Linked DNA regions of Caenorhabditis elegans. The protein of the gene in region 2 interacts with the protein of the main gene of each other region in a pairwise test. Each region holds a gene or a part of one and is shown on either strand. Other genes may lie near its edges.

Evidence for each region.
Region 1: the proteins of scc-2 (region 2) and ZK899.6 interact in a two-hybrid assay, tested with the Caenorhabditis elegans proteins (one large-scale study listed by BioGRID).
Region 3: the proteins of scc-2 (region 2) and Y47G6A.14 interact in a two-hybrid assay, tested with the Caenorhabditis elegans proteins (one large-scale study listed by BioGRID).

What each region holds. Positions count from the first base shown.
Region 1 is NC_003284.9:9,458,501-9,467,049, forward strand, and holds ZK899.6 (C2H2-type domain-containing protein), read left to right. Parts: upstream 1-4,844; 5' UTR 4,845-4,855; coding exon 4,856-4,940; intron 4,941-4,987; coding exon 4,988-5,094; intron 5,095-5,143; coding exon 5,144-5,890; 3' UTR 5,891-6,241; downstream 6,242-8,549. Other genes in the region: ZK899.5 (C2H2-type domain-containing protein), read right to left, coding at 1,411-2,145, 2,195-2,301, 2,349-2,433.
Region 2 is NC_003280.10:250,037-259,671, forward strand, and holds the start of scc-2 (Nipped-B-like protein scc-2), read right to left. Parts: upstream 5,161-9,635; 5' UTR 5,147-5,160; coding exon 4,943-5,146; intron 4,895-4,942; coding exon 4,664-4,894; intron 4,580-4,663; coding exon 4,256-4,579; intron 3,841-4,255; coding exon 3,639-3,840; intron 3,334-3,638; coding exon 3,177-3,333; intron 2,667-3,176; coding exon 2,290-2,666; intron 2,192-2,289; coding exon 1,885-2,191; intron 1,814-1,884; coding exon 1,405-1,813; intron 1,014-1,404; coding exon 677-1,013; intron 50-676; coding exon 1-49. Other genes in the region: cat-2 (Biopterin-dependent aromatic amino acid hydroxylase family profile domain-containing protein), read left to right, coding at 7,783-7,827, 8,612-8,791, 8,921-9,405, 9,453-9,635. UniProt on the Caenorhabditis elegans protein: Plays an important role in the loading of the cohesin complex on to meiotic chromosomes. Forms a heterodimeric complex (also known as cohesin loading complex) with mau-2/SCC4 which mediates the loading of the cohesin complex onto chromatin.
Region 3 is NC_003279.8:3,462,157-3,474,837, reverse strand, and holds Y47G6A.14 (RING-type domain-containing protein), read left to right. Parts: upstream 1-6,650; 5' UTR 6,651-6,716; intron 6,717-7,257; coding exon of another isoform or gene 7,258-7,330; intron 7,331-7,372; coding exon of another isoform or gene 7,373-7,535; intron 7,536-7,584; coding exon of another isoform or gene 7,585-7,704; exon of another isoform or gene 7,705-7,706; intron 7,707-8,535; 5' UTR 8,536-8,549; coding exon 8,550-8,601; intron 8,602-8,652; coding exon 8,653-8,780; intron 8,781-8,828; coding exon 8,829-8,874; intron 8,875-8,917; coding exon 8,918-9,014; intron 9,015-9,059; coding exon 9,060-9,129; intron 9,130-9,186; coding exon 9,187-9,285; intron 9,286-9,339; coding exon 9,340-9,465; intron 9,466-9,979; coding exon 9,980-10,132; intron 10,133-10,534; coding exon 10,535-10,656; intron 10,657-10,997; coding exon 10,998-11,172; intron 11,173-11,802; coding exon 11,803-11,928; intron 11,929-11,974; coding exon 11,975-12,067; intron 12,068-12,343; coding exon 12,344-12,463; 3' UTR 12,464-12,568; downstream 12,569-12,681. Other genes in the region: Y47G6A.15 (DUF148 domain-containing protein), read left to right, coding at 415-481, 531-1,040, 1,644-1,763; AFG3-like protein spg-7, read right to left, coding at 2,286-2,394, 3,111-4,256, 5,172-5,296, 5,354-5,552, 7,258-7,330, 7,373-7,535, 7,585-7,704.

The DNA.
Region 1 (8,549 bases), on a different chromosome or scaffold from region 2:
ACCAGAATGAAAAATAGGTTTACAAATTATTCTATAGACACAATAGAAAATAAGAGCCATATACGAAATTTTTAAATTTTTTCTGTATCCTAAGTTTCCACTTTGAACATATTTTCTACATACAACAAGAACCAACGTACATAAATACGATTTGCCTGTTTCTTTTAACATCTTTGAAATCAAAATTTGATGATACTTTTCTCGAACGTGCAAAGCAGTCAAAATTGTTGCCCATTTTGTGCCAAAAGTAAATTCCGGAATATCACGTGTGTTCAGCTTGAGAAAGTAGTCTTTCGGTGATTTTTTTTTTCTGTAATCTTATTTTATGTCTTGTTCTAAAATTTGTCTCGATTTTCTGAAAATCGTTTATGTTGATTCATCTTACCGATTAAATGATAGGCAACAACGTACTTGCAAGCACACCTATGGAAATAATTGCAAATTTTAAAAGATAATTATTTCATGACTATTCTGAACAGTAATTAGAAATATGGGAAAATGAACAAAACAATTTAGGTCGTATATTGGGCAGGTATCAAAATTGTTTTAGGTGCAAGTTTTTTAGTCAAAAAAATTCATAGAACAAGAAAATCGCCTTGTTGCGTTTTTTGAAATGCATAATTAATATTATTATTTATTTTTAGACACGTTGTTCTGTTCCCAAGCCACATTCAATCCATAAAAGGAACTCAATTGAAAATTGAACACTTTGATCACAAACAAAATGCTCCCAGAAGATCCACAACCATTTTCTGGATCAATTGCCCCAATCAGTACGCCAAGTGCTCCCGTTGCCGATTTGGATTAAAAATATATCATTCAGCTGTGTTTTATTACTTACTTGAACATGAATAATAAAATTCAAAACAACAATACATTTCAAAAAAAAATAGGTGCAATAATTAGTTGATGTTTCTTTGGATTAGTTGAATAAAATTAGGTAGAATTGTCAGCAGTTTTCCTGTTTGTTCCTCTCTTGCAAATTATACACAGTATAATTGGAAAGTTATATTTGTTATATCCTCCTTTTTTCCAAACAATGCATTGAACAATCTGAATTTACTGACACAAACCAAAAAAAAGAGGATTGGAAAAAAAGGTTGTTGTGACATGTCTCTTGCCTCGGTCTATAGTTTTTGAAAACATTTTAATTAAAAGAAATCAAGTTAATTTCATTTTATGAGACTTTATTGGATAATTGAGATGAGAACTATAAAGCAGGGAAAATCAAGAAAAACATTTCGTCGATGAGATCAATGAGTGAACAAATTAGATGAGTGAACAAATTAGAATTGGTACAAAAATGAAACAAAAAAATCAGAAAAGTATTTTTCCGAGCTATTTCGAAATTATTAAATATCTATCAGTTTAGCAATAGATAGTTGTGAAAATTAATCAAGTTTCAATGTTTTAGATGGCTTCAACATCAACCATTTCCTCGTCATATTCAAACGACTCTTCATTAAGATCCTCATCAGCAGCGTAACCAATCTCCATACTTTGATTATTGATATCTTCTCCGTCGTCCAACTCATCAGAATCATACTCATCCCAATCAGATTCCTCCACCTGTCCATCCTCTGAAACATCGGAAGTTTCTGTGTCAGTAGCGTCTTCCATGTGATCAATGCTTCTGGACATTCTTTTAGTTGGGAAAGAGTAGACAATACTTCCAGTTCTTTCATCTTTCTGTTTCTTGATCAAATAACGAACAAAGACGACATCAATCATATTCGAAACGTCAATCATGTAATCCTGGTACTTTTCAATGAAGTACTCCGAGAGTTCATCGAAATGAAGATCAGGTCCAACAGGCTCCAAATTTGGGATAACTCCTTCGGGCAATGGCTGCTTTAGATCCTCTCTAATTTGAATGATGCGCTCATCAGTTTCAAAGTACTGGAAGAGATTACAGAGACTATCATATGAAGTAAGCATGTTTCCAAATAGAGCTTTTGAATTTTGAATGAACGTTGAGTACTCGGATTTGTAGTTCGTGCATTGTTTGGAATGAATAATCACTTCGGCTTCTTCGTTGAAACGTTCCATACACATTCCACACTTCTTGCACTCAGATGCTTCATACAATTCAGAAACACGTTGAGTCATCATTAAAAGACGATTTCCGTGCATGTGCATGTGATACTGAAAGTAGAAAACAATTGAATTTTAATTTTACAAAGATTTGACTTACATTCAAATCGCGTTTTGCGTTTTCGAGACATTCATCAATATGCTGAATAAATGGGATTTCCGAATCGAACTTTGAACTGCAATCTGAGCACTGTAACTTGTGGATATCTGAAGAAACGCTATTAGTCAAGAAATTGGATTAGGTTGTAGCTTACTCAAGAAACTGCGACAAGTGTTGATGTTTATTGGAGTTCTCCAAATGTCGAAAATTCTGTGAGGAATGCTAGTGACGGGAGTCATTCTGAAAATTGTCAAATTAGGGCTGAAATTAGGATTTTAAACAATATTATGAATAAAAGAAACAGATACTAATACAACAAACAAACAGAAAACTTTTAAAAAAAAGTCAATTATTTGGAACAATGATTAAACTGTTTCAGATCACAACCTGACATTCCAAAACGAGTGAATGAGGAATAACTGACTATATTGGTTTACACAAACTGGTAGGCTCCACCCTTTTACCAGCAATATATTGGTATCGATTGTTCATTTTAGCGTCCCATATCGTCTCATAGAGCATCACATTGCCACATACTGGATCACGATGTGGGAAATTTCACATGGTAGTCTACCAACAAACAGATTTACGGTAATTGTAAATGGGGAAAATGAATTATAGAAATACAGAACGGAGTATCTAATCGGCTACATGTCATATTGACACTTTGTCTTCCGAAATGACGATACTTTCAAAACCTACTACTGTACTATAAGAAACTTGTTAATGTACCAAGAAAGACAATGAAGACAATCAAATAAATAAAACACAAGGGAGGGATTATGGGTATTTTGTTTTGCATGATTGGATAATCGAGTAAGGATCTGTATTAGAGTTAGTTTGCGACATATATATATATATATATATATTTTATCAATAAAAAGGTAAAACTGATATGGCATATTGAAGCATGTATTGAACCTCTAAGTGTTCAAAGGAAAGCTTACGTATAATCAGCAAAAATGAACATTAATCGAAGGTTCACGCGATTCACATTTGCATTTCATGATTTTTCTTAAAGATTCTAAGATACATGTTATAATGAGATTTTGGCGTCAAAAATGCTCATTTAAAAAAATCCTATTTACATGTCCGTGTTTGTGAAAAAACTACTTGAATAGATTTAAACACAAATACACTTTTTAGTACATTTGCAATAATTAAACAAAATTTGAAGATGAATATCACATATAATTAAATATATTCGCTATCTGTGTTTCCAGAGCACAACTATTGTTTTCAAATCTCGCGTAACTCATTTCTAATTGAAGTCAGACTAAAAGTGTTCTTTCTCGTTGATGTATACTTTTTTATCGATAAATTAAGTAACTATTTGTTGTAAATGCGCAATTTTTTTTGAGAAAACATCAGTTTTTGTCACGAATTGATTGGTAATATTTTCTGATCGAAGTAGGTACAAATCACTTTTGACTTTGATTGAAACCCATTTTTTATAAGACAAAACCGGCAATTGCCGAAGTTGCCGATTGCCGGGAATTTTGAAAACCGGCAATTGCGGGAATTGCCGATTGCCGGAAATCAGAATTGCCGGAAATGTAAAGTTGATACTTCTTTGTAGATTTACGAGCCTAAAGAGGCATTTCAATGAACAATTTTCTCTTTTCAAGCTCGAAATGTTTTAATCCTACAATGATTTACCATTTTATTTAAGAAAATGACTGATCGAATACTATAAAACACTGTGAACATTTTCACTTTCCAAAATATAATTAGGTTTGAAAATTGCCGAAAATGTCCGGCAATCGGCAATTTCGGCAATTTCGGCAATTGCCAAAATTGTCCGATTGCCGCGCAGCCCTGGTTGAGAGGACACTTTCTTGGTAGACAAAGTTTATTCTTTATTTTTTTGGAAACAGTTTTTCAGAAGATAAAACCCTTACGAAAAATAGAAAAGTGAAAAGCAGAAACAGTTATTTTTCAAGAAAACGGCGGGGAACAATTTGAACAGTCAAATAAAATCTCCGATTTTTTTTTCTTTATTGATTTGCGTTTGTTCAAATGATTTTAGTTATAATTTTATAATTTTAATTCGTATCTTTACCTAAGGATCCTTACAACCTGATTCCGAGAAACAAGTAAAACTTAATCATTACTCAAGCATAACTTATTGATTCAAACACGCTAATAATAGAAGAATGAAAAATGAATGCGGTCTCAATAAGCAGAAACTTGAAAAGTTCACCACACGTGTCTTTCTTTGAGTATCTTCAAGAAAAATCATAACATGTGAATCTGAAACATACGAACTTTCGATTGAAGTTCAGTTTTTAAATATAAAATCTTCGTATTTATATTAAAATGCATGTTTAAGCTCAATTCATGCTTTGATCTTCCATTTATCAGTTTTAATTTTGTGAAAATATATATGTCGCAAACTGTACCCCAGCTTAAATACAAATCTTAAGTCCATCATCAAGTGTTACAGTTCAAAATACCCAAAATCTGTCTTTTTTGTTGTAACTAATTTATTGTTTCCATCGTCTTTCTTGGTAAATTTCTTATAATGCACTAGTAGGTTTTTGAAAGTATCGTCATTTCGGAAGACAGAGTGTCAATATGACATGTAGCCGATTATCTGTTTTTTTTATTCATAATATTGTTTAAAATCCTAATTTCAGCCCTAATTTGACAATTTTCAGAATGACTCCCGTCACTAGCATTCCTCACAGAATTTTCGACATTTGGAGAACTCCAATAAACATCAACACTTGTCGCAGTTTCTTGAGTAAGCTACAACCTAATCCAATTTCTTGACTAATAGCGTTTCTTCAGATATCCACAAGTTACAGTGCTCAGATTGCAGTTCAAAGTTCGATTCGGAAATCCCATTTATTCAGCATATTGATGAATGTCTCGAAAATGCAAAACGCGATTTGAATGTAAGTCAAATCTTTGTAAAATTAAAATTCAATTGTTTTCTACTTTCAGTATCACATGCACATGCACGGAAATCGTCTTTTAATGATGACTCAACGTGTTTCTGAATTGTATGAAGCATCTGAGTGCAAGAAGTGTGGAATGTGTATGGAACGTTTCAACGAAGAAGCCAAAGTGATTATTCATTCCAAACAATGCACGAACTACAAATCCGAGTACTCAACGTTCATTCAAAATTCAAAAGCTCTATTTGGAAACATGCTTACTTCATATGATAGTCTCTGTAATCTCTTCCAGTACTTTGAAACTGATGAGCGCATCATTCAAATTAGAGAGGATCTAAAGCAGCCATTGCCCGAAGGAGTTATCCCAAATTTGGAGCCTGTTGGACCTGATCTTCATTTCGATGAACTCTCGGAGTACTTCATTGAAAAGTACCAGGATTACATGATTGACGTTTCGAATATGATTGATGTCGTCTTTGTTCGTTATTTGATCAAGAAACAGAAAGATGAAAGAACTGGAAGTATTGTCTACTCTTTCCCAACTAAAAGAATGTCCAGAAGCATTGATCACATGGAAGACGCTACTGACACAGAAACTTCCGATGTTTCAGAGGATGAGCAGGTGGAGGAATCTGATTGGGATGAGTATGATTCTGATAAATTGGACGACGGAGAAGAAGATATCAACAATGAAGGTATGGAGATCGTCTACGCTGCTGATCAGGAAGTCAATGAAGAATCGTTTGAATTTGAAGACTTTGACGAGGAAATGATTGATGTCGAAACCATGTAAAACTTCTCAATTTAAAGAACAAATTTTTGTTTTTGTTACAAAGCTACCATTGCTGAACTGAGTTGTGCTCAGTAAATTTGAAGTAATTCCGTTTCAGAAAATAACTTATTTTTTGCTCCATTCTTGTTCCAATCTTAGTTTATTCACTCATTGATCTCTTTGACTTAATATGCTTCTTGATTCTCCTTCTCTCTTGAATAACTTGCTTTGTAGTTTTTTGTTTGTTTGTTCACTTGTTCACAGCATTGCACTGCACCTTTCTTTGCTTGATTGTCATTGCCTTAATGATTTAAAACCGCACTTTTACAATAGCATGAAATAAAATCACTTTTTACATTTCTCAACACACAAGTTCTCAAATATTACAAATGTAGAAAATATGCAATTTTATCGAAATGAGGCAGCATTTGCATTGACATCGTTGAAGAGTACATATTTTTATTGTTGTATGATTGTTCGATCTAAACTTCAGACAATTGTTTAGCAATCAGAAGTTTAACAACATAAATCATGACTCTCCATGCTCCGTGATCAGGAAATGACCCTCTAAACAAGTTAATGATTTGAAATGGTTTATGGGGGAATAATATAAACTTTATTTGTTTTCATCTAGACTTGATAATATTTGTGTGTCCTCCCGAAACACAACAACAATGCCGTCTGGTGCCCCTTCGACCTATACATAAACAAGGTCACGATCAATAAATGTGACGTGTCGAAATTTTCAGAAATGTGTTATTCATCTAACAGTTGCAGAACTTTCCAAGTTTTAGAAAATTAATAATAATTTTTGTAAGTGTTCTTTGGTATAGAGAGCATATAGTTTTTTCTGAGAAAAAACTTCGAACAATGTTTTTTTCACTTACAAAAATTTAACAGAACCTGTTGGCTTCAAAGGTATATATTTTTAGTCGTGTTTCTCTGTAAATTAACTTCTTTCAGTTAAATATCAGGCAGTACAGTCTTTGGGAGAACACTTTGGAATCAACTCAACTCAAAGTATTAAAAAAATTAACAATCCGGCCAGCGGCTCTTAGAAATTAATTTTAGAATTATTTCTGCCTTTTAGAATTATTTCTGCCAATACGAAAAGTCGTATTTTACTTTGCAAGAGTATGTAGTGAAAAGTTGCAACGATTTTTCAAAAACGGAATTCTTTTCCGAAAAAATATTAAGTATGCTCAAAGTATTACTCGTTACGCTCTGTCTGTTTCTTATAAACTGCTGTACAATGCTTGCCTTGCCTTTTAAGTTCTGAAATGTAAAAAATTAAAAAAAAGTTTTCCTCGAAGACTGAGAGCAAGCATAATTTTCGCATTTACTGGATGTCTTGATGTCATTCGTATGTACCTCAATCGTATCCACAATTTTTTTATTTTTAATACACACCCCTTATCAATTCGGTGTGACTACTTGCCCAATAAACAAAAATCATACCCACGTAGTACTCTCCAATGGCTGTCGCTTAAATTAACTGGGCAAGAAAATTTAGGCGAAGGGAGAGATACTGATGCTGTGGATAAAATATATGAGAATTTTATTGATTGTTTGAAAAATGAGTGAGTACATTAAGTTGACACAATTAAACCTAACCAAGAAAATATTCAACTTAATATTGTGCTAACTACCTCAATAATTCAATGCAATGAAGTTTGATGTGAGCAGAGTAGGCAGTTGGGCAAACTGAAAGTAGGACAAACTGTGCATACGGCTACCAATCTTGTAAAAAAGAAAAAGACACATCAAGAGTAATTATTTCTTTAAGTGCTATACTGATTTTTAATCCTTTTGTGATTGCAATACTATTAGGGATTAGAGATACAGATTGATTTTCGAGAATTACAGTTTTTTGGTCAGGGTCATCTTCAATTTCTTTTTCAGAGTCTGCCTTTTTCATTAGGATTAGCTATACAGGACCAGCGAAAAATTATTTTCTGACAAAAATTGAAAATTTTCGCAGTTATTGCATTTTTTTTTCCAATTTGTAGAAGCAATTTTGTCGGTTTTCCAAGCCTTGGACAAAAAACAACAACTTTCTACGAAGAAAAAATCTAATTTGAGATTTTATGTTTGAAAAATCTATTCTTCAAATCAAATTTCATTCATTTTTCTTATGGAAGTTTATTATTTTTAATACGTTTAATGTATCCCGGATATTTTTCGGTTTTAAAATATGTGTTTTCCTTCAAACAAAAAAATTCCGAAAAAAAACTCATTTTTTGCGACGAAGCCTCCCTGTTATTGCGTTGTTCTTTTTTTGAAATCCTAGGTCAATAATAAGGACGTGCTACTTGAGTTTTCATAGAATTCCGGTAAGTTTTTATAGTATCGTAATTTTTTAATGCTGATTAGTTTCAGTGAGTAGGGGGAGCGTGACTTTGTTGTGCTTATGAACTTTCAATGATTTTTGTCGCTCGTTCATTTTACCGCTCGGTTCCGTAAGATGATATTTTGGCTGAAATCATTGTGACCAATGAAATTATTAAAAAAATAGTGATTACCACTATTTTCTGTACTACAGTCTTTGTGCCACGGAGATTAATATACTCTTGACCGACTTACTACAGCCGGAGGTGCTTCCACAAGTTCATGGGCTGATAAAAGGTGTCATGCAAGTCAATAAGGCCGTCTACAACTGTTTTACATTATGCTCTTGTGT
Region 2 (9,635 bases):
GTGCACACGCCAGCTTTCTTTCGACGACGAGCTTCTTCTGGTGCACGGTCTGCAAAATTTGAAATTAAATTTGAACCAATTTGAACTCATAGACCCAAAATAGGCTCAAATGAATTTCGTAATGAAAATTGTCAAAAACTTTCCAAAAATTTTTTATGGCGGTTCAAAATTTCGAAAAAATTACACTGATTTTAGTTTGGAACTCGAATTTTGGACATTTTCCGTGTCACATCTGTCCGAAGATAACTTTTTTCGGAATTATCATCCTTTATTGCATATTTAGGTAGTTTATCTAATTTAATTTCGTTGATTAAGGTACATTTAAAGCCAATAGGTAACCAAAAATCATCGAAATTGGTTACCTATTGGCTTTAAATATACCTTAATCAACGAAATTAAATGAGATAAACTACCTAAATATGCAATAAAGGATGATAATTCCAAAAAAGTTAACTTCGGGCAGATGAGGCACGGAAAATGTCCAAAATTCAAGTTTCAAGCTAAAATCAGTGTCATTTTTTCGAAATTTTGAACCGCCATAAAAAATGTTTTGGAAAGTTTTTGAGAATTTTCATTACAAAATTCGTTTATTTGAGCTCATTTTGGGTCTGTACGTTCAAATTGGTCAAACCGTTAGTCCTCCTTTAATGGAGATGCTTAAAACTACAAAATGCACCTTTTTTCTTAGAATTAACCGATTTGTAGATACTATCCGACGCTGGGTAGATTAAATGAATAAGCAAGAGACGAGTCAATCCAACACATCGATCAATGACATCCTCTATGATAACTTGTTTGTGCATTCGATGACTCGACATGATATTCAGTGCTACAACGGCAGCGTCGGATGCTCGTTTCACTCGTTCCTCGCAGATTTCCTTTTCGAGCACGTCACCAACATCCACGTCATCGTCACACGGGACGAGAAGACGTTGATTGTCGGCCGAGATGGCGTCACGGATGTTACGATCCAGCATTGCGACGAGTTTCAGTAGTTTGTCTGCTCCGACGGCCTGCATTTTTTTATTTGGCAAACTTTTAGTAGAATAATGTTCGATTTTGAAATTGTGCTGCTAGGACTACAAACTACAACTTTTGATTTAGCAGACCCAAGAGATTTGGTCTGCTAGGCTACAAACTACAAATTTCGATTTAGCAGACCCTAGTTAATTTGAAAGTATTTGGTCTGCAAGGCTACAAACTACAAATTTCGATTTAGCAGACCCAAATGGTATTGAAAAAATTAGAATTTTTAGCACTAAAACTTGGATTTTTCTAATGGAAAATTTTGATTTTTTAGCACATAAAATCTGTGCTCAGGTCACATTCTACGCTTTTAGAAGCTGCTAGACTGCAATTTTTCGAGTTTTTAGCACTAAAAATCGAATTTTCCAAACTACACACCTGCAAGGCATGATTCTCTCTCAATCTGGCGGATCCTCTTCTCAGCTCTTCAAGTATGTACAACTCAATCCGTAGATCTGGATCAATCTCATCCATCTCCTCTTCTTCATCCGATTCATCGGAATTCTCATCTCCTTTATGATGATGATCGCCGCCGGATCTTCGTTTCTTGTTCTTCGGCATTTTCAGCTCAGTGTCCAAACTGTCGCCCTGTTCCAGAACACCGTCAACAGTCTGACAGAATCGAGTGAACGTCTCGTTGTCGGCCAGCGCTTGCAGGCTCCACGCGTTTTGGCTCTCCTCGTCGGCTTTTCGCGATTTTTCTCGTTCCATTTTCAGACGCAGGCGCTCTTGCCATTCAGCATCCCGCGATTCGATAACGTCTTCTGGAGTTGGAGATCTATCTTTCCTGCAAAAAAAAAGCCAATTGTAGACTACAAACTACAAACTACAAACTACACTGTAGTGTAATTCTTTTACCTAATTCTGTCCTCCTTTCTTCGCTTTTTCTGTGACCCAAAGAAATGCTGAACATCCTCCTCGGTTGTTGTGAATCCAGTGACACTTGCCGGCAGCTTAACCCCCTTCTCCATTTCTTCAATCAATTTCAGATCCCGCTGAAGCAGCTCATCCTCGTCATCGTCGGATCCACGTCCACGTCGTCTGCCACGTCGTCCGGTGTCTGTTGGCACGAAATTGTCGGTCAGCGAATCGTACAGATTCTCGACCATATCACGCTTCTTCCGCTGATTCTGGCCACCGCCACCACCGGCTTTTGGTGCTTTTCCTGAAAGAAAAATTGTAGTTTGTAGTGTAGAAAAACCAGCTGCTTATATAGGGGTCAAAGTTCAAGGGTCAAACTGGCAGTTTTCCGTAAAAACTTACCAACAGACATCATTTGCCTGCGCTTTTCAATGGAAATCGGCGCGGGTCCTTCCTCGTCCACATCGTGATGATTCATAGTAACACTTGAACTCTGTGTTGCTTCTGACATACTAACCGACGATGACGTCATCATTACAATCGAATTCTGATGATGATTATTATACGAAGAGGAGCTCGTTGAAGGAGCAGTAGTTCTTGTAATATCCTCAGTCATCATTACATCCTCATTCTCCAACAATTCCATGTCATTATGCGAATCCACGTCGAGAGCGCTTGTATTATAATTGACGACTGCTTGAATTATTGGCGGGAGTTTGTCAAGGAATAGATCATTTGTCTCTTTGTCGTCAGGACGGAGCTTGTCCATTCGAGTTATACTGGAAGAAAAGAGATATGTGAAATATTTTATAGTTTGTAGTTTGAGCAACGCTTTTAAAACAGTTGTAACAGAACTTATTCTGAATTAAATTTTTTTTTGGTCTGCTAGACTACGAACTACAACTCTCGATTTAGCAGACCCAAGTGATTTTGAAGAGATTTGAATCAAAATATATGATTTTAGGCGAATATTTTCTGAAAACTTGAAATAAGCATGTCATTTTCCAGATAAACGTTGTCAATAACCAATAATTATCGGCAATGGCTTACAATTAGTGTCGCTGGTATCTACATTCTATGAATGTGCACTTACGTCTCAAAAACGAGCCAGATTTCCAAAAAAAAAAGAAGAATACTTGAAAATTTAGAAAAATTAGTTCTAAAAGTCTTCAAAACTCGGATAATTTTTATAATTAAAAAATTACAGCAATTTTTCTTCTGAACAGATTTTTAGACTTTTACACCACTTTTTCAGAAAAAAAACAAAAAATTTCCATATTCCAACTTACATATCATCAATATTAGTGGCATTCAGGATATTACTAATTGTGGCGACCATTTGAGGATCACATGATTCAAGAATTGCGCTATCTCGTTCCATATCAAATACTTGTGGAAGTGTAGAATCAACCATACTTTCATATGGGAATGGAATCATGTCGAGGACTGAAAAAAGGTGATTATTGGTGCTACGGAGACTATAAACTACAAAATACAAATTAAAAATACTTTTTATGATTTATTCACAAGCAAATTTCGATTTTCGCCCTGAATTTTAATTATTTTCAAGTTGGGAAAAATAAAATCAAGCCTATTGCACAACTACACTTTTCGATATGATAATTGCAATTTTTCTTAGATTTCTGTATTTTTTGTCCAAAAATTGAATTTTTTGAAATCATTTTCAATCAAGATAAATTTTTAACAGTAAAAATATCTAGTTTTTCTTAAAATCCCATGATTTCCCTTACAATTCGGTAAAAAATGAGTTCCAACAAGTGTCATCGGCTGAGAAACTCTTGCGAATCGCTCTTCCAGTTCACTCCGTTGCCGTTCGACTTCTGCGATATGCTTATTCTGTTCGGCTTGCATTTTTTGAAGCATCGCTTGTTTTTGAGCTTCGATGTCGGCAGCAATACGGCGTTCATCTTCGAGACGGGCGGCTTCTTCTAGCTGAAAAAAAAACATAATTTTAGGAGTTTTTCGATTAAAAATGGCTGCACAACAAAGCTGAATTACATTTCGTTGATTTTTAAACGTTTTTTTTTCGTGATTTTCAAATTTTTCTGTTAAAAATCGATTGCAAAGTGTCTTTTCCAACTTTTTTGATAAAATTTAGAGATTTTTCAGTTTTTCAAATTACTTTTACCGCCTAAATCAATAATTAACGCGTTTCTGGAAGGGGGGGGGGGGGGGGAGGGGATTTCAAAGAGTTTTTCGTGAAAAATTTCGATTTTAAAGGGGTTTTCAGTTTCAAAATGGCATTAAAAAAATATTCTCAATGGATTTTTCAGATTTTTAGTGTGGAAATCCAGGATCTGGTCCGAATTTCAACCACAATTCCAGCTTTTTAAATCCAAAATCTCACCCTCTTGATCTCTGCCAACCGTTCCCGTTCCATTTGCTCTCGGAGCCTCTGTTGCTCCTCCAGAAGCCGCTTTTCCTCAGCAATCCGCAATCGTTTCAACTCCTCATTTCGTTTTCTCTGCTCTTCGAGCTCTTGCTTCCGTTTTCGCTCTTCCTGCTCTTTTCGTTCTTTTTCAATTTGTCGACACTGCTCTTCGTACAGTTTTTGATGCGATGAGATCACTGATGAGTCGAAAATCGATGAAGCCGCCGACTGAATTTGCTGTTGAAATTGATTCGAGGTTGACGGTGGAATTGTGTGTTGTGGTATTGGTTGGGCGATTGGCTGGAAAAATTGAAAAATTTTAATTTTTTAACTGCAAAACTGAGAAAAGCGGATTTTTTCCGAACTTTCAGATATTCTATGCACCTGTTGCCTTTGAATCTGCTGAACTGGCTGTTGCTGCTGCTGTTGTTGTTGCTGCTGCATCAATTGAAGCATCTGATGTTGTGTGAACATGTTCATTTGATGATGTTGGGCTTGCGGCTGAGCGATATTCTGATGTTGCTGCTGTTGCTGGTGATGAAGCTGTTGTTGCTGCTGCTGTTGTTGCATCAGGTACTGCTGCTGCTGTTGCTGTTGAGCTTGAAAGTCGAAAAGCTGAAAAAATTTGGTTAAATTTCATGAAAAATCCCCCAAAGCCGCTACCTGATTATTATAATTCATTCCAAATCCGAAATTCAAATATTGCTGCTGTAACAACATCGGATTGTACTGGCCGGTAGCGGCGGCAGCTGCAGCAGCTCCAGTTTGAGCCATTTGATGTCCGAATCCGCCGGCGTTCGTTTGAACCGGTTGAAAGTTGGGATTTCCAGTCCCATTTAGGCTATTTTGCAAGTTATTCGGATCCATTTCATTCGATCTCTGCAATAAATCGTAGATTTTCAGAGAATTTGCGTTTTTGCAGGAAAATCAGCGTATTCCACGAAAAATCGATAAATAGAAATCAAATCAGTGGCCGAAAAGCGCGAAAATGTTTTTTTCAAAGCGATGCAAACACGCTCCATCGAGCGGCCGCCCTTTCGGCAAGCGGCACGCGCAGTTTTCGCAAGTAGTGCGCACGATTTTAGTGAATTTGGGAATTAATTTATGACTACTCTGAAAAAGTGAATTTCATGTTAAAAAGACGGGAAAAATACAATTTTTCGAGAAACTTGGATCGGATAATCTTGTTGAGCATAAATGGATTTATACAATGTGAGGAACAGTTCCAAGATTTTCGACACTTTCACGATCACCAACGCTAGCCCACGATTTGTCGGCCGCGGATTGTTGATTAGTAGTCAACTTTCGGTACGTTCATCAGATTCTCAAGATGGACGGAGGTGAAAGGACTCTGGACAAGAATCAAAGATCAAGATCTGGAGATGGTTTTTCATTGAGAAACCTATACACTCAAAATAATAAAACTGCGTGGCGTGTACTGCAGAAAACCTAATATTTAGGCCCCGCCTTTTTTTCGTCCACTCACGGGGAAAAGGCAAAATTCGGGGACCAACCAATATCAGGCCGCCGACATCTCATGGGTTCCGCGCGCCGCTATGTTTAACTCGTTGTGGGTGTGGCAAGCTGTCTCCGCCCGCTGCGAGTTAAACATAGCGGCGCGCGGAACCCATGAGATGTCGGCGGCCTGATATTGGTTGGTCCCCGAATTTTGCCTTTTCCCCGTGAGTGGACGAAAAAAAGGCGGGGCCTAAATATTAGGTTTTCTGCAGTACACGCCACGCAGTTTTATTATTTTGAGTGTAAACTCTAGCCTGAATGCTCCCCGTCTATAAATTTTGGAAAAAAGGATCCCCTCGGGGATCCGAAAATTTCTTATACCGTACTTAAATATATTTCCTCTAGTAGTAAGGCAAGCGCTACTATTTTCCCGAAAATTAATTTTATGCAAAACTATTAGAGGACATACGGAAATTTCAACAACGTCATCAGTTTTTTTTCAAAAAATTTCAATTTTAAAGAGAAAATACACGCCAACTTCCACTTGGGTCTGCTAAATCGAAATGTGTAGTTTTGTAGTCTAGCAGGCCCAATCTTTTCTGAACTTCACTTATTTTCGAGCTGTTTGAGTCTGAAAACTGAACATTTTCTTAGTTTTTAACGAAAAAAAAACGATGGTAAATCGAAGCTTTTTAATTTTTTTTCAGCTTTTGTTGAACAGAAAATGGAACAATTTTAAATTTTTGCCATGAAAAATGCTTGATTTTTTTTTATTTTTCAGCATGAAAATAAACATTTTTCGCTCATAAATTAGAAAAATTCAAATTTTTTGGCCTTTTTCAGTGAAAAAACTCACGTGGTGACAGACTGTCCCATGTAGGTTTGATCAGAGACGGAGACTAGACGGAGACTTCTCAACTGATTTCGTGTTGTTAAGAACGTGCTTGATCGAAAAATGTTTTATTTTCATGCTGAAAAATAAAAAAATCAAGCAATTTTCATGGCAAAATTTGAAAATTTTCCATTTTCAGTTCAACAAAAGCTGAAAAAAATTTAAAAGCTTCGATTTTCCATGGTTTTTTTTTGTTAAAAACTAAAAAAATGTTCAGTTTTCAGACTCGAACAGCTCAAAATTTAGTGAATTTTGGAAAAGATTGGGCCTGCTAGACTACAAACTACAACTTTTGATTTAGCAAACCGATTTGTTTTTATTAGTTTTGAATCAAATGAAGTCACTTCATTGAAGTGTCCGGAAAATAGTATCGCATGCCTTACTAATAGAAGGCATACATACAGAATAAGAAGTTTTCGGATCCCCGAAGGGATCTTTTTTCCAAAATTTATAGACTGGGAGCATTCAGGCTAGAGTTTATAGGTTTCCCATTGAAACAAACTCCAGAGCTTGACCTTTGATTCTTGTCCAATGTCCTTTTACTTCCGTCCGTCTTGAGAATCTGATCTTCATATCCAAAATTGACTGGTAATCAACAACAAGCGGCCGACAAAAATTGGGCTAGCGTTGGCGATCGTGAAAGCGTCGAATTTCATCTTGTTAATAAGAAGTTTTCCTGACATTGTATAAATCAATTTATGCTCAAAAAGAAAATCCGATTTAAATGTCTCAAAAAATAGACATTTAAAAAAACTATAATAAAACAACTTGACAAAAGTCAAATTTTTGGAATAGGAACCATAGAAGATCTCCAATAACCCGGAAATTTTATTTAAAAACTATGTGAAGTCACACCTGTCTTCATTTCTCCTTTTGTTAATTCAGTATAAAATCGTCCCACGTCATATCTACAGTACCCCGTGCTTTTCAAAAAGTGCATTTCACCTGAACAACTCCTTCCATGGAATCAATGCTATATTACACAATAACAATGCACATTCATATGCTCCAAAGTATGCAATGATGATTTGATACGGAAGGAAATGTGGTGTCTCTCTTTCAGAGTACTCCATAACACAGCAACAGGAGCAACAATTATCTCTTCTCACTGTCGTTGTTGGCGTGGGGACCCCTTGAAAAATTGGAAGAGGAAATGTTTTTGCGGTATATGCGGAGGCGGGGCTCTGGAGAGGATCACGTAAATTCTGTTCAAATATATTTCAGGTATTCGTTAGGCTTTCGTTCGTTTTTCTAGTTCAACGTGGTCTCCCTGGTAACTAAAAATTAAAAACTTGAAAAATAGAATTTCCGTGATTTTTCTGATATTTTGACCTCGAAAACAATGTTCTTTGTGTTGTATTCTCAGACAACCTCATCAACACACACTTTTTATAATATCTATAGTAAAAAAGAATAGTATGAGAAGTCGAACAGTTAATGTGTTATTCAAGTGGAATGTGTGTATATATATTCTAGGAAGTTTTCATGAAAATTTTCAAATTTTAGTGTTTTCTTTGAGTTTTGGCACATTATAACGCATTACCAACTAATTTTTCATACGCTAACATTCTAAATAATGTTTGAAAGTACCTCTACAAAACGTACATACTAACTAAATTGAGTCACGTAACACTGCAATTACTATTGATTTACTAAAACAATCACTGTGTTCACTTTCATATGCTGGGTTATCAGTTCTCGGCCAATAACTTTCTCAATACCCGTCTAACCATCTACAGTAACCCTTCAGAAGTGTCGTCTCCATTGTCAAAACTAATTGCGGCGGTGAACGTCGCAAGGAACGTCTCAATTAACATGTCGTCACTAACCAACAATACTTTCATGGTAACTTAGAATTAACACCCTAAGTGATCATTTTGAAAATCCGACCTTTTTGCGAATTAAAAAAAAAGAAAACGAAAATCGAAATAGAAGCCATTAAAGTTCAAAAACATAGAAAAGTTGAGTTTTTCAATTTCTAGGAGGAAGAACCTCGCGGTGTCACAGTCATCGCCACCAAAGTAGCCGAGAACTCCAAAAATCCACGTCGCTACAGTTTGGTGCACCAAGCGAGTTGTGAGACTCAACATCATAAGGGTATACGGAGACAGAACACAATTCAACACCGAAAACAGCTCACCGATCAGATGAGGTGTCAGAAGGTACAGTAATCCATACAAGCTCTTGTGATCCGTGATCTCTCAAAGAACAAACGCATTTTTGTTGTCAAGTAGTTTAAACGGTCGACTTCAAATATTTCGACGCAAAAACTTAAAATTCCGACGATTCAGATTCTCCAACAACTGAACGACGAAGGAATCGAAGTAATTTTCACTGCGAATGACGTCACTCCTATCGAATTTTCTATTATTCTCACTTCCACTGACCCAACGCTTTCCAATTTTGTGTCCGACATCCTCCAAAACATGTCCAGCGCAAAGGTTCAAATTTGCCACGTGGAAACTCGGGGCAATGAGGCTTCACACGACGTGCTCCTAGCGTGCAAGGCTACTAAAAACCAGTTAATTCACTCGGCAGAGCTGCTCACGCAAAACCACGTGGCGCTCACGAAATTCTCGATTTTCGCCAAGAAACTGTCCGATGAGAAGAATCAATCACAAATCTGGTTTCCCCGTCACATCAGTGAGCTCGATCAATGCTCGAAGTGCATTACAAAGTACGAGCCAACAACGGATCCACGACATCCGGGCCACGGCGACGTGGCGTATATCGCGCGTCGGAAATTCTTGAATGATCAGGCGTTAGAGTTCAAGTTGTAAGCAAGTTCACATTACAATAAGTCCAATATTCTAATTTTTACAGTGGTGACGAGATAGGCTACGTGGACTACACGGAGGAAGAGCACGCCACGTGGAAGGCTGTCTACGAGAAATTGGGTGATCTCCACTTATCCCACACATGTGCGGTATATCGGCAAAATTTGAAAATTCTCCAAGAGGAGAAGGTTTTGACAGCGGATAGGATTCCTCAGATTCGAGATGTGAA
Region 3 (12,681 bases), on a different chromosome or scaffold from region 2:
AAAAATTTTCCGAAAAAAACGTTTTTTTTTCAGAAAATCGGCATTTTGCTTAAAAAATTTTTTTTTAATCGAAATTGATTCAGAAAATTTTTAAAGGGATGAATAAAATAATATTCTCCAAAAATTCCCAAAAATTTAATGGGGTTATTCAAGTAATGTAGCAAAATGTATTAAAATACATTTGTGACGTCAAAAATGTATTTAAATACATGTTTTTTATATACTTGAATAAGGTTGTGACGTAATTTTTCTACACTTTTTAATTTTCCGACACTACTTGAATAACCCCATAAGGAAAAAGGCAAATTTTAAGCAAAAAGTGATTTTTTGAGTGATTTTAAGACATTCATGGTAAAGCAGAAAAGTTCGGTGCATCTATTCACGATAATTTTCTTAATTTCCACCTTTTTACAGCGGTCCAAACGCACAACAGACATACACAGGAGCCCAGTATAATAGGCTGGTGGAAAAGTTTAAAAAGGTGCGGTAATCTCAAATCACCTCGAAAAAATTAGGACACCTTTTTTCAGGAGGTTGACAAAGCAGATGAGCTCGAAGCGGAAAAAAGACAATTAGAAGCAGAAATGGTCAGTTTGAAACGTAATTTCGATAGCCAGTCTGCAGAACTTGTGAAGAGTCAAAATCAAGTTCTGAAACTCGATTTAAACGTGATGAGATTGGAGGCTAAACTAACATCCTCGGACGCGAATCTTGATAGAGCAAAGGACGAAGTTGAGACAGCCAACAGACGTCAGAAAAGAGCAGAAGATGACGCCAAAGATGCTCGTGATGAACTTGAAAAGGAAAAGAACGCCAATAGGGCAAACAAAGCCCTTGTGGATGAATTGCGAAACGCTGCTGCACAGACGACAAACGAAATGAGAAGTCTCCGAAACCGCCTGGATGAATGCAATAATCAGAGAAATGGACAGACGACAACCACAACACAAGATGGTTATCCGTTTGTGTCGAATCAGCAGAATCAGCCAAGAGCATCAAATACTAATCAAGGATTGGACAGAGTTGACGTCATTTTTGTGGTGAGTGCATTTTACTATTTGAAAAATTGCAATTTTCGCGTTTTTTTTCCTCAAAAGGTCACAATCTCCACACAGTTTTGTATACAAAATTTTGTAGCGAAAAAATTCTAGAAATAGCCATTAAATGGGCGGAGTCTGATTCGTTTTGAAGATTTCTCTTTACATGTTTTTTAAAGAGCTCCGGCCATTTTTTGAAACAAATTCAGTTCGAGATGAAAATGCTAGATACCAATAAATGGGCGGGGCCTCTTGGTGGATTTGCTTCCAAGGAGTCATAAGTATCGTTTTTGAGATTTCTCTTTTAAATGCCTTCTTGTACATTTTTGGCCAACAAATTTGCCCGTTTTTCAAAATTGAAACGAAAACATTTCGAAAAGGCCAATAAATGGGCGGGGTCTCTTGGGAAATCTATTTCCACGGAATGAAATCTCCGAAAAACCAAATTTTCGCCTATTTTCTGCCAAAATTGCTTCCTTCCAACTGTTCCTCCTTAAAAATACCTAGTTTTGTAGCGAAAAAACCCCGAAAAAGTCAATAAATGGGCGGGGTCTTTCGGGAAATCTATTTCCACGGAATCTAGTATCCGAAAATCTCAAATTTCAGCCAAATACCAACGGCGACCAAGGAAGCATCCAATTCGGAAATGGCTCGCCAAATAATGGTCGTGGTGGTGGACAATACGTAACTCCACAGCATCTGCTCAACCTGCTTCAGCGTCATTAAGCTATTTATTCGAGTGCCTACATTCTTTGTTTTTCAATCTAATTTATTTGTCCTATTCTTTTCATCTTATTCTTTTTCTGTTTTCTTCTAAATAAATGGTTTCAATCGGGAAAGCAGCTCACACATGTCTTCTGGTATTTGCCTGAACTCTCCATTTTTCACACACTATTTCTCCTTGGCTCTCCTCCCGCCGAAACAAAAACATAATCGACTTCATATGTCAGATAAAGCTGCTCTCTCAGAGCTCTTCAGTCAAACATTCCCCCATCCATTCAATCATGAAATTTCAACTGATTCTTCTTCTTCTTCTTCTCCAAATTCTGATTATTTTCACGGCTCTCAGCGGCTCGGCTCCAGTCAAATGCACATGCAACGTGGATCCGGACACTGGCATTGCGTCGACGATTTGTGAAGGATTGACAGAGGCTCTCGACAAGAAATCGCCGGTTTTAGATTAAATTCGAATACTTTTTGCAACTTTTGCTCCGTCTCAATAAAGCTGTAAAATAAAATAAACCAAACCTGTGAATATGCCATTTGTGTAACTTTCTGTAGATCATCTTGTGCTCCAGTTGTGATTCGTCCGAAGAAGATCTCCTCGGCGACGCGACCTCCGAGTGTCATGCACATTCTGAAAAATTTTTAAAAATTTTGAAAAATATCGAAAAATTAAAGGTTTTCTTTTGCCAACAAAATTTGGCTCTTTTTTTGGTAAAAAATCGCAAAATCGAAAAAAAAACAATATTTTTTGAAATATGCATAATTGAAAAAAATCAGAAATATTGATTTTGAATTGAAAAATTTCAGCTAAAAATTTATCAGTACAGTGAAATCTTTTGGGAAAACATCCTAAATGAAGGGAAAGATTAAAAATTTTCGAAAAAATTCAATTCTCTGAATAAAATATTAAGATTTTTATTATTTGGGGAGAAAAAGTTAAATTAGCTTTTTTCCTATTTGTTTGAGCTTTTTTTTTAAATTTCGAACTAATGTCGACTTATTCCTGGTTCAAAATTATGATTAAAAAAAATTAAATTAAAAAATTTTAGAGTGCATATCCGCCGCCAAAGCTTCATAAAAGTGAAATTTTGGGGACCTTTTTGCTTAAAAATCACGTTTTCGTGATTCAAAAAATTCCAGAAATCACGATTTTGCACAATTTGTAACTACGATCAAGCAATAAGTGTAATATTGTCGGGAAAATCTCATAAAAGCACTTTTTGATACTATAAATATCCAGAAATCACGATTTTAAAGTGTTTCCAATCGCGATTTTGACAGTTTTTAACAGTTTTTTCTTGGAAATTTTTTTGAAAAATAAAAACTTAAAAACTGCATCATCATTACCGATCAAGCAACTGATCCTTTGAATACAAGTATTGCTCCTTCGGCAAATACTGTGCATATCCGAGACCCTTTCCTCGTGGAATAATAGAAACCTTCAACAGAGGATCCGCATGCTGTAGGAACCATCCAGCAATAGCATGCCCAGCTTCATGATAGGCTACAGTCTTCTTCTCCTCTTTCTGCAAAACCTGCGTCTTCTTCTCCATTCCAGCGACGACTCGTTCGATGGCTTGTTCGAAATGTTTATTTGAAATCTCGTGATTCGCATCTCTCGCCGCAATCAGCGCAGCCTCATTGCACACATTCGAAATGTCGGCTCCAGAGAATCCTGGTGTATGGGCGGCGAGTTTTCGTGAAAGCACAGTCTTGTCGAGGGAAGTCCGAAGTGGTCCAAGATGAACTCTAAAGATTGAAGCACGACCTTTGATATCTGGAACTGGAACATAGATCTGTCTATCAAAGCGACCAGGTCGGAGGAGTGCCGAATCGAGAATATCCACACGATTCGTGGCGGCAATCACAATGACCGACGATTCATCAGTTGTGAATCCATCCATCTCAACGAGAAGCTGATTCAGAGTATTCTCTTGTTCAGAGTGTCCACCCATTCCACCTTTTCCACCACGTTTTCTTCCAACTGCGTCAATTTCATCAATAAATAGAATGCACGGAGAGTTCTTTCTAGCCATTGAGAACATGTCACGGACTCTTGCAGGTCCTACTCCGACGAACATTTCCAGGAATTCGGATCCCGATACAGTGATGAATGGAACATTTGCCTCGCCGGCGGTTGCCTTCGCGAGAAGTGTCTTTCCGGTTCCAGGAGGTCCTGTTAGAATGGCTCCTTTCGGAATTTTCGCGCCAAGATCCTTGTACTGCTGGGGGTTCTTCAGGAAATTCACAAACTCCATAATTTCGATTTTTGCCTCTTCACAACCGGCAACATCGGCGAACTTCACCTTGATATCTTCTCGATTAATGACTCTAGCCGTGCTTTGTCCGAATCCACCAAACATTCCACCGAGTCCACCTCCACCAGCTCTTCCGGCTCCGCCAGCTGCTCCACCGCCTTTCAGCATTCGATAGATGTAATAGCCGAAGAGAAGAGGGAATGCGACGCTGATGAGGTTTGGGATTTCGCGTTTGCTGAAAAAAAAAGGTTTTTAATTGAAGTTTGGGGGAGTTTTAATGTAAAAATGCCTGAAAAATTGGATTTTTTCAAATTTTTAGTGCAGAAAATCAGAAAAATCAGAATTTTAAAAGAATTTTAGTGCGAGAAATCAGCTAAATTGCGTTTTTTTTTGAATTTTTGTGCAAAAATTCAACAAAATTGATATTTGTTGGAATTTTAGTGCAAAAAAATCAGAAAAATCGGATTTTTTTTTGGAATTTTTAGGCAAAACACAGCCTAACTGCGATTTTTTAAATTTTTTCTGCAAAAATTCAGCAAAATTGATATTTGTTGAAATTTTAGTGCAAAAAAATCAGAAAAATCGGATTTTTTTGGAATTTTAGTGCAAAAAATTGGCTAAATTGAGTTTTTTTTGGAATTTTAGTGCAACAAATCAGCAAAATTTTTTTTTTTGAATTTTTTGGCAAAAAATCAGAAACATCGGATTTTTTAAAAGACTTTTAGTGCAAAAATTCAGCAAAATTGAGATTTTCTCGAATTTTTAGGCAAAAAACAGCCTAACTGCGTTTTTTTAAAAATTTTTCTGCAAAAAACCAGCAAAATTAATTTTTGTTTTTGAAATTTTCAGGCAAAAAATCAGAAAAATCGGATTTTTTTTTTGAAATTTTAGTGCAAAAAACGAGCAAAAAGCAACTTTTTCCATAATTTTTGTGCAAAATTTTCATTTTCAGTGACTTTCTGAAGGTTTTCACTTTAAAAACAAAATTTTAACTACAAAAAATGTGAAAAATTAAAAGTTTTTCTGAATTTTCATGCAAAAATTATAACTTTTCCCATTTCCCAGAGCTTTTTCTTTAAGAAAATCGGGGGTTTTTTCTTTTTTTCTCTAATTTTTCTTGAAATGGAGTGATTTTTGCAGAAATCCTTACAAATTGAATTCAGATTTATATAAAACCGGAATTTGTCGATCAGCATCATACTGGAGATGATGCTGAGCAGCTCCGAGGCTCCGTTCGAAGCTATCCACACTTCCGATGTTGAAATAGCACGTTTGCTGAAAGAAAAAAATTCATTTTTTCACGAATTTCAGTGCAAAAACTAAAAAACTAACTCCTGCATACTTTCCAGACGAGCTAACAATTCGAACCCATCGCTTATCAACTACTTCAAGTCTCTCGACAAGTCCAGCTTCCAGGAAATCACTGTAAAACTCCTTCCAGGAAATTTCACGATACGACTGATAATCCATAAAGGCGTAGAGAGCGAGCAGAATTCCAACTGAAACGGCAATTTGTTGCCATCCTCCTGGGCTGAAAATTGGAGGAATTAGATTGATTTTAAGGGGTTTTAGAGGTTTTCTCCGTTTTTTTAAAGGTGGACTACGCTCAGTGGGTAAATTGCTTTAAAACGCGCCTATGGGGTCACATTGACCGAATATCATGATATTAAAATTCAAAAAAATTTTCCAGATTTTATATGATTTTTTGAAAATTGGAAAAATCACAGTTTTCACCTAATTATTTTTGAATTTCCGCCAATTGAATTTGTTCGGTGGAGCGCACTTGCATTATTTTTATTTATTAATTTTATTTATTCTCGTTATTTGACTGATTTTCTTCATTTTCTATGTTTTTTCCTCGGAAAATGGAAGAAATAAAAAAGACAAATGCAACATTTTTGTTAAAAAGTAATTGAAAATGAGTAAAACTGTGATATTCTGAGTTCCGACGGCAACAAGCCTGAAATTAGTATATTTCACAGTTTTACTCATTTTCAATTACTTTTTAACAAGAATTTTGCATTTGTCTTGTTTATTTCTTCCATTTTCCGAGGAGAAAACATAGAAAATGAAGAAAATCAGTCAAAGAACAAGAATTTAAAAAAATTAATTGATAAAAATACTGCAAGCACGCTCCACCGAACAAATCCAATTGGCGGAAATTCAAAAATAATTAGGTGAAAACTGTGATTTTTCCTATTTTCAAAAAATCATATAAAATCTAGAAAATTGTTTTGATTTTTTTCACATCGATATTTGGAATGAGAAGAAAATTTGGAGACATTTGAAAATATTTTCCAGATTTCGGTACCCCACTTTTAAATCTTAGAAAAGGTAAATGTGCTCAAAAGAGGCACCACGTTTTCAAGATCTAGCCGGAAACGAGATCTACGAAAAGGAGGTCTACATTTTCAGGATCTGGCACCATGCCAACTGCGGTTTTCGCAGTCTACTCGAAGAAAAAGCAACGATGCTCCGATATTACGCATCGCACGTTGTTTAGTCAGAAAAACCTTTTTTGAATAAAAACTTCTGAAAAACGCTAAACAACTCGCGATGCGTAATATCGGAGCATCGTTATTTCGATTTTCTTCGAGAAAACTGCGAAAACTGCACTTGGCACGGTGCCAGATCCTGAAAACGTAGATCTTCTTCTCGTAGATCTTGAAAACGTGGTGCCCCGCTCAAAAACATCGTGGGCGGAGCAAAAAACCGTGCCAGAATTGCAAAAATGGGCGTTTTTTTGTTTTTTTTTTCTCGGAATTTTTTTTCAACGATTTGGAAAATTCGTGATTTCATTAAATTTTGAATTTTATTGAAATGATTCCGAAATCCCGAATTTTCGATTTTTGAAAATCTGGAAAAATGGAGAAAATGCTAAAAACGCCAATTTTTGCAACTCTGGCACGGTTTTTGCTCTGCCAATAAAACTTTTTAAAAAAACTGCTAATTTTAGCTAAAATCACCAATTTATTTTAAAAATATTGGATTTTACAAGTTTTTTCCGGATCTTTGGGACAATTTTTGCCAAAAAGTTCAAAATACGGCCCGGGAAACCTGTAAAAGTCAATTTTTTGAAATACTCCAAAGAAATTCGACTAGAAATGATTTCCGGGGCTTCTCCGAGACTTCAATAAACAAAATAACGTGGTGAAAAGCATCTAAATGATGATAATTTGGGCGAAATTTCAGATTTTAGCCAAAATTAGCCGATTTTTGTGTCTATTCCTCCTCACAATTGATTAAACGGATTATTATCCTCTCCCTTATTTCCTTTGCTGTCCTTTTTGTCAGAAGATGATGAAGATTCTGGAAAAAACTTCGAATTAATGATAATTTCCCTCTGAAAACCTTTATTATCCGTCGATGCTTCCTTCCTGAAGAACTTTTTCAAATCATTTGGTTTCGAGGCGAAATATCGAATTGTCTGCTGTACTTGATTGAAGAATCGCTCTTCAAATCGCTGATCTTTTGCGAGAAGATGCAGAACTTCTTGTTGTTTTAGCACGGATTTCTGCAAAAAAATTCAGAATTTTCAGTATACTGGCAGGCGGTAATATTACATCATCTTTGGCTACTGCTGAAAATGAGCTGACTGAAAATTGGCGGGAATTGACAGATTTGAAGCATGATTCGACCGAATTTCTCAGCTGCTTCGGCGTTTTTCGGTATAATCGCCACATTTCTGCAATAGAATTTAATTATCATAATCATGCACTGCGCAAACAGTGAGAGATGACGAAATCTTCGATTTTAAGATTGAGGAACGAGGGAAAAAATTAAAAACAACCAAATTTCAGCCGTTTTCTACTTTTTCGAATATTTTTTCTCGAGAAAAATGTTTAAAATTATGCAAAATACAAGGAAAAACCATAAAGCTTCAAAAATACTGAGCACTTTTTAGAAAATAGCAAGCGCGCTCCATCGCACAAGACAATGCGCGCGTCGTTTGAAATTAGTTTCCAGTGCACAGAGCCATGACGCAAAAGTGAACGATTAGTTTGCGAAAGTACTTTGAGAAATTTTGGAAAGAAATTGGCAAAAAAAACGTTGTGAAATTAAAAATCAATGTGAATTTCCATGGAAAACAGGCATTTTTTGGGCAAATGTTTTTTTTTTGAGAAACTGACGGTATTGGTAGATTTTCAGTGTGGATAATCTATGGATTTTATTATATACTGAATTAAAATTCATTAAATAGTGTAAAAACATAATAAAATTGTGAAAATCAAACCGGAATCACGGGAAATTTGATTCAAAACATTGAAATTCGATGACGAAATAAACAAAGGTCTTACTGTAGTTTTTAAAGGCGCAAGCACATTATCCTCCTTGAGACTTGAAGCGAAAACGCTTGAAACTCAAATATTTGCAAAAACATTAATTTTTCCGGATATAAATTGTATAAATTGTTTTTCCTTAATTTTAAACGAAAATTTCAATTATTCGACGATTAAAAATAACGAAAATTTAAAAATATTGATTTTTCTAATTTAAAAAACTTTATTTTTCAGAATTTTCGAGAAAAATGGATGTTAATGAAGAACTCCCGACTTGCCCTGTGTGCCAGGAAGAATTTGGTGAAAAATATCCCAATTTTTATTGTAAAACAAGCACATTTTTATTTTCAGATGATCAAAAGGCTCCATTCATCATATCTTGTGGCCATTCTCTATGCGAAACTTGCATTGTGCACTTGAAAAGCGATTATTCTGACGCATATGGATCTGGTGGCCAGACACAATGCCCGACATGCCGCGTATGGCTTAAATATATTGATATCTGTTTAAAAATAAAATAATTTCAGGCCGTGGTTAGCAAGGAGAAGCGAACAAAAAACTTTGCATTGACAAGTTTTAAAAATATTCATATTTCCCGAAAAAAACTATTTTTCAGATGCTGTGACCATGATCCAAAAGCTTCGTGAGAAGCCAAAGAAGCCTGCAAATGCAGTGGACTGCACTCAATGCACCAAATACGACAACGAATCGGAGTAGGCCTCTTTTAATTAGAAATAACAAAAAAATTCAATTTCCAGCATGTTCGTCTGCCGCAATTGCGTCACTGATGCCTTCAAATACGACGTCGTGGAGAATTTGGGTGCCGAGGTCCGGAAAATATCCAATTTCAAAAAAAAAAAAAAAATTGAAAAATGATTTTTTAAGGTGGATTTGGATATCAAATCGTTGGCGCTTTGTGGAAGTTGTGCACTGCGATCTCATGTCACACAGGGCCACGAGACTGTGGCTTATTTCCCGGTTGCGGTATATTTAAAAAATTTATTTGTAAAGAAAAGACTTAAAATTGTAAATTTTCAGTCCGGAATGAACTTCGCAAGCCAGCTTACAAGTATTTCTCTTCTGAGAATTGAGCTCGAATCGTCGTTTGGGCTCACCAATGCGTGGTATGCTCGGTTTGCATCGACATATAAGACATTCCACACGGTGATTTTGATTTGATATTTGAAATCGATGTGCGCGGTCAAAATTTCGATTTTTCGGATATTTTCAGAGATAATCTAGGAGAAAAAATGGAAGAATACTATGAATTTATCAAAAAAAAAAGTGGATTTCGATTTAAAAAACTAATTTTTCTTCGGAAATTAGTGAAAATTCAATTTTTTTTCCTCGGAACACGAAAAATCGTTTAAAAAAATCGAAAAATTTTGATTTTTGAAAATATTTGGTGACAAAATCTTTGAAGAAGTTTTCTGTTGCTTTTCGTGATTTTTACGGAAAAATGACGTTAAAAATGCATTTAAAAACAATTTTTTCATCAATTTCGACATAAAACAATTGAAATTCGAATTTTTTGAATTTTCCAGTTTTGCCGCCATGTATACCTAACGAGACCGATAATTTGGAGGCGGAGCACATTTCCACGTTGATTTTTAAATTTTAAGGCGCATTTTTCTGCGTCTCCATATTATTTTTTCAATCAATAATCAAATAATTCCAGGAGCTCGACAAGATGACGGATATGATGAGAAAAAGCAAGTCTAGTGATGTCCAAGAGGAGTTTTCCAAGAGAATTGATCAGGAAATCAAAAGAATGTCAGATTATGTACAGTCTGTGTGCTTGGAAATTGCCAATAAGGACAAGGAATATCAAGTAAAAAATCGTCATTTTTGCGTCAAAAATACGGTTTTGGGTCTCGAAACGAAAGATTTTTGCTGGATTCGAAATGGTGTGCGCCTTTAAATAGTACTGTAATTTTTGTGAATTTTGAACAAATTGACAGAAAAAGTATGGGAAAAACATCGATTTTTCTTCGTTTTTCTGTCGAAAAAAATTCCTGTAATTTCACTTTTTGGAATTTTTTTTCGACAGAAAAACGATGAAAAATCGATGTTTTTCCCATACTTTTTTTGTCAATTTATTCAAAATTTACAAAAATTACAGTACTCTTTAAAGGCGCACACCTTCTCGCCTTCAACAAAAATCTTTCGTGTTGAGACCTGATACCGTAGTTTCGCGCAAAATTTCGCGACTGAGTAATAAATTAAATTTCAGAAATCATTCACTGCTCTCGTGGCCATCAACAAAAAGGACGAGGAGACGAAATGCCAAGAGCCCGTCGAGAAAATTTTTGAGCTCACGTGCAGCGAGTGTATGACCAAGCAGACCGTCGAAAGGTTCTTTAACTCATTTTTTGGATATTTTGGAGCCGATTTTCACAGAAAATTGAAATATTTGGAGCGTCTGCTGAGCATTTTTCGTTATTTTCAATTTAATTGACTGTTTTTTTTTAATTTCTAAAAAATATTCACAATAAAACTCAAAAAACTGAAATTTTCAGCCTGAAATTGTATGTATATTTTTTATTTGCAGCAAAAAAAGATTTTCTATTTTTTCAGACATTTTTTCCGCAAAAAATCGAGTTTTTGGCCAATTTCCGAGAAAATTTGCGCGGGAGTTCAAAAATAATTAACTTTTCTGCAAAATCAAAAAAAAAATCAATATTTTTTCCATACAGATTCCGCTGCTGCAAAACATGCATTGAAGTCGTCGGAAAACTCGTTGACAATCTTCTCGAAACAACTGAAATCGACGCAGTTGACCTTGAAACTCTGCCGATTTGCACGAATTGTATCGTCGATCATCATCATTCTGACGGCGAGCACAAGACTGTCAGATATTCTCAAGTTCAGGTAAAAACTTAATTTTACACCTAAAAAGACCAAAAATTTCTCAAAAAACGCGTATTTTCAGAACTTGCAGAAGTAAATTTTTATTTAATTATCACAATTTCTTACATTTTCGGTCGCAATGCACAAAAATCGACCAAAATGTGTAGTAAAATGTGATAAATAAATGAAAACTGACTTCTGCAAGTTCTGACTTTGTAAAGCTTTCAAAATTTGAGGTTTTAGCAAGAAAAAATGTATTTTCCCAATTTTTAAAACCGACATAATTTATAAAGAAAAAGAAAAATTCGGTAATTTTGGGTAATTTTGTGAACCAGCCTTTATTACGAGAACACAAAATTCTGATAATACAGCATATTTGACGCGCAAAATATCTCGAAGCGAAAACTACAGTAATTCTTTAAATTACTACTGTAGCGTTTGTATCGATTTACGGAAATCATTTATTAAAGCACACTTCGAACAGAAAATTGATTCGAAAATCGAGCCCGTAAATCAACACTACAGTAGTCTTTTAAAGAATTACTGTAGTTTTTGCTTCGAGATATTTTGCGCGTCAAATATGTTGTACAATACGCATTCTCAGAATTAAATGTTCCCATAATAAGAGAAATAATTAATCTTTTTTTTCAGGAAGCCTACACCTCGCTCAAGGTTTTCTCGAAAGTTGAAAAGCATAAAGATGAGATTAATATCAAATTTTCGGCTCTTCTTGACACCTTCAAACATTATATCACACAGTTGGAAGGATATGATGACGTGGGTTTCAATTAAATAATTATCTGAAATATTTAAAAATGTTCAGAAAATCACCAAGATGTCGAAAATCGCAATGGAAAGTCGTGGACATCCGGAACAAGCGGAGGTTGTCAAGGGATTTCAGAACGAGTTGGAGAAGGTTCGGAAACAAGCCTGCCGGGGTTTTCGATTTTTTGAAAAACCGAAAAGTGAAAAATTTTGCGGTCAAATTTGCTCAAAAAAGTGCAATTTCTGTTTTTTTGTATGAAATACGCGTAAACCGTAATAAAAAATATTGCATTCTTGATGAGAAATTCCGATTTTGAAGTTTTTTCAGATTTTTTTTCGGTTTTGCTCAACAAAAAAAAAAAACCGAAAAATCGAAAATTTGTTCGGAAAAGTAAAGAAAGATTATAAGAAAATTTACCATTTTCAGGCGGACCACGCAATTTCTTCTCTCCAATCGAATGCTGATATGAGCCAGACTGTCGTCAGAATGCAGCAGAAACGCCTCGACGCAGTGGAGAATGAGTTTGGAACTACTAGCGACGCATAATTATCCGACTGAGAAATGCTCAAGTTTTAAAGCTATGAATTTTATATTTAAATGAGTTTTCGAATTTTTCGGTCTGTATAACAACTTGAATAAATTAAAAAGTTGAGAACATTTCAATCATGGATTTTCCTGGCAATGGCAACTGCAGAGACGAGCGATAGCGGGATATTCGCCAGCACCCTTGATCGGAAACAAAATATTTTACAGACTTTTATGAC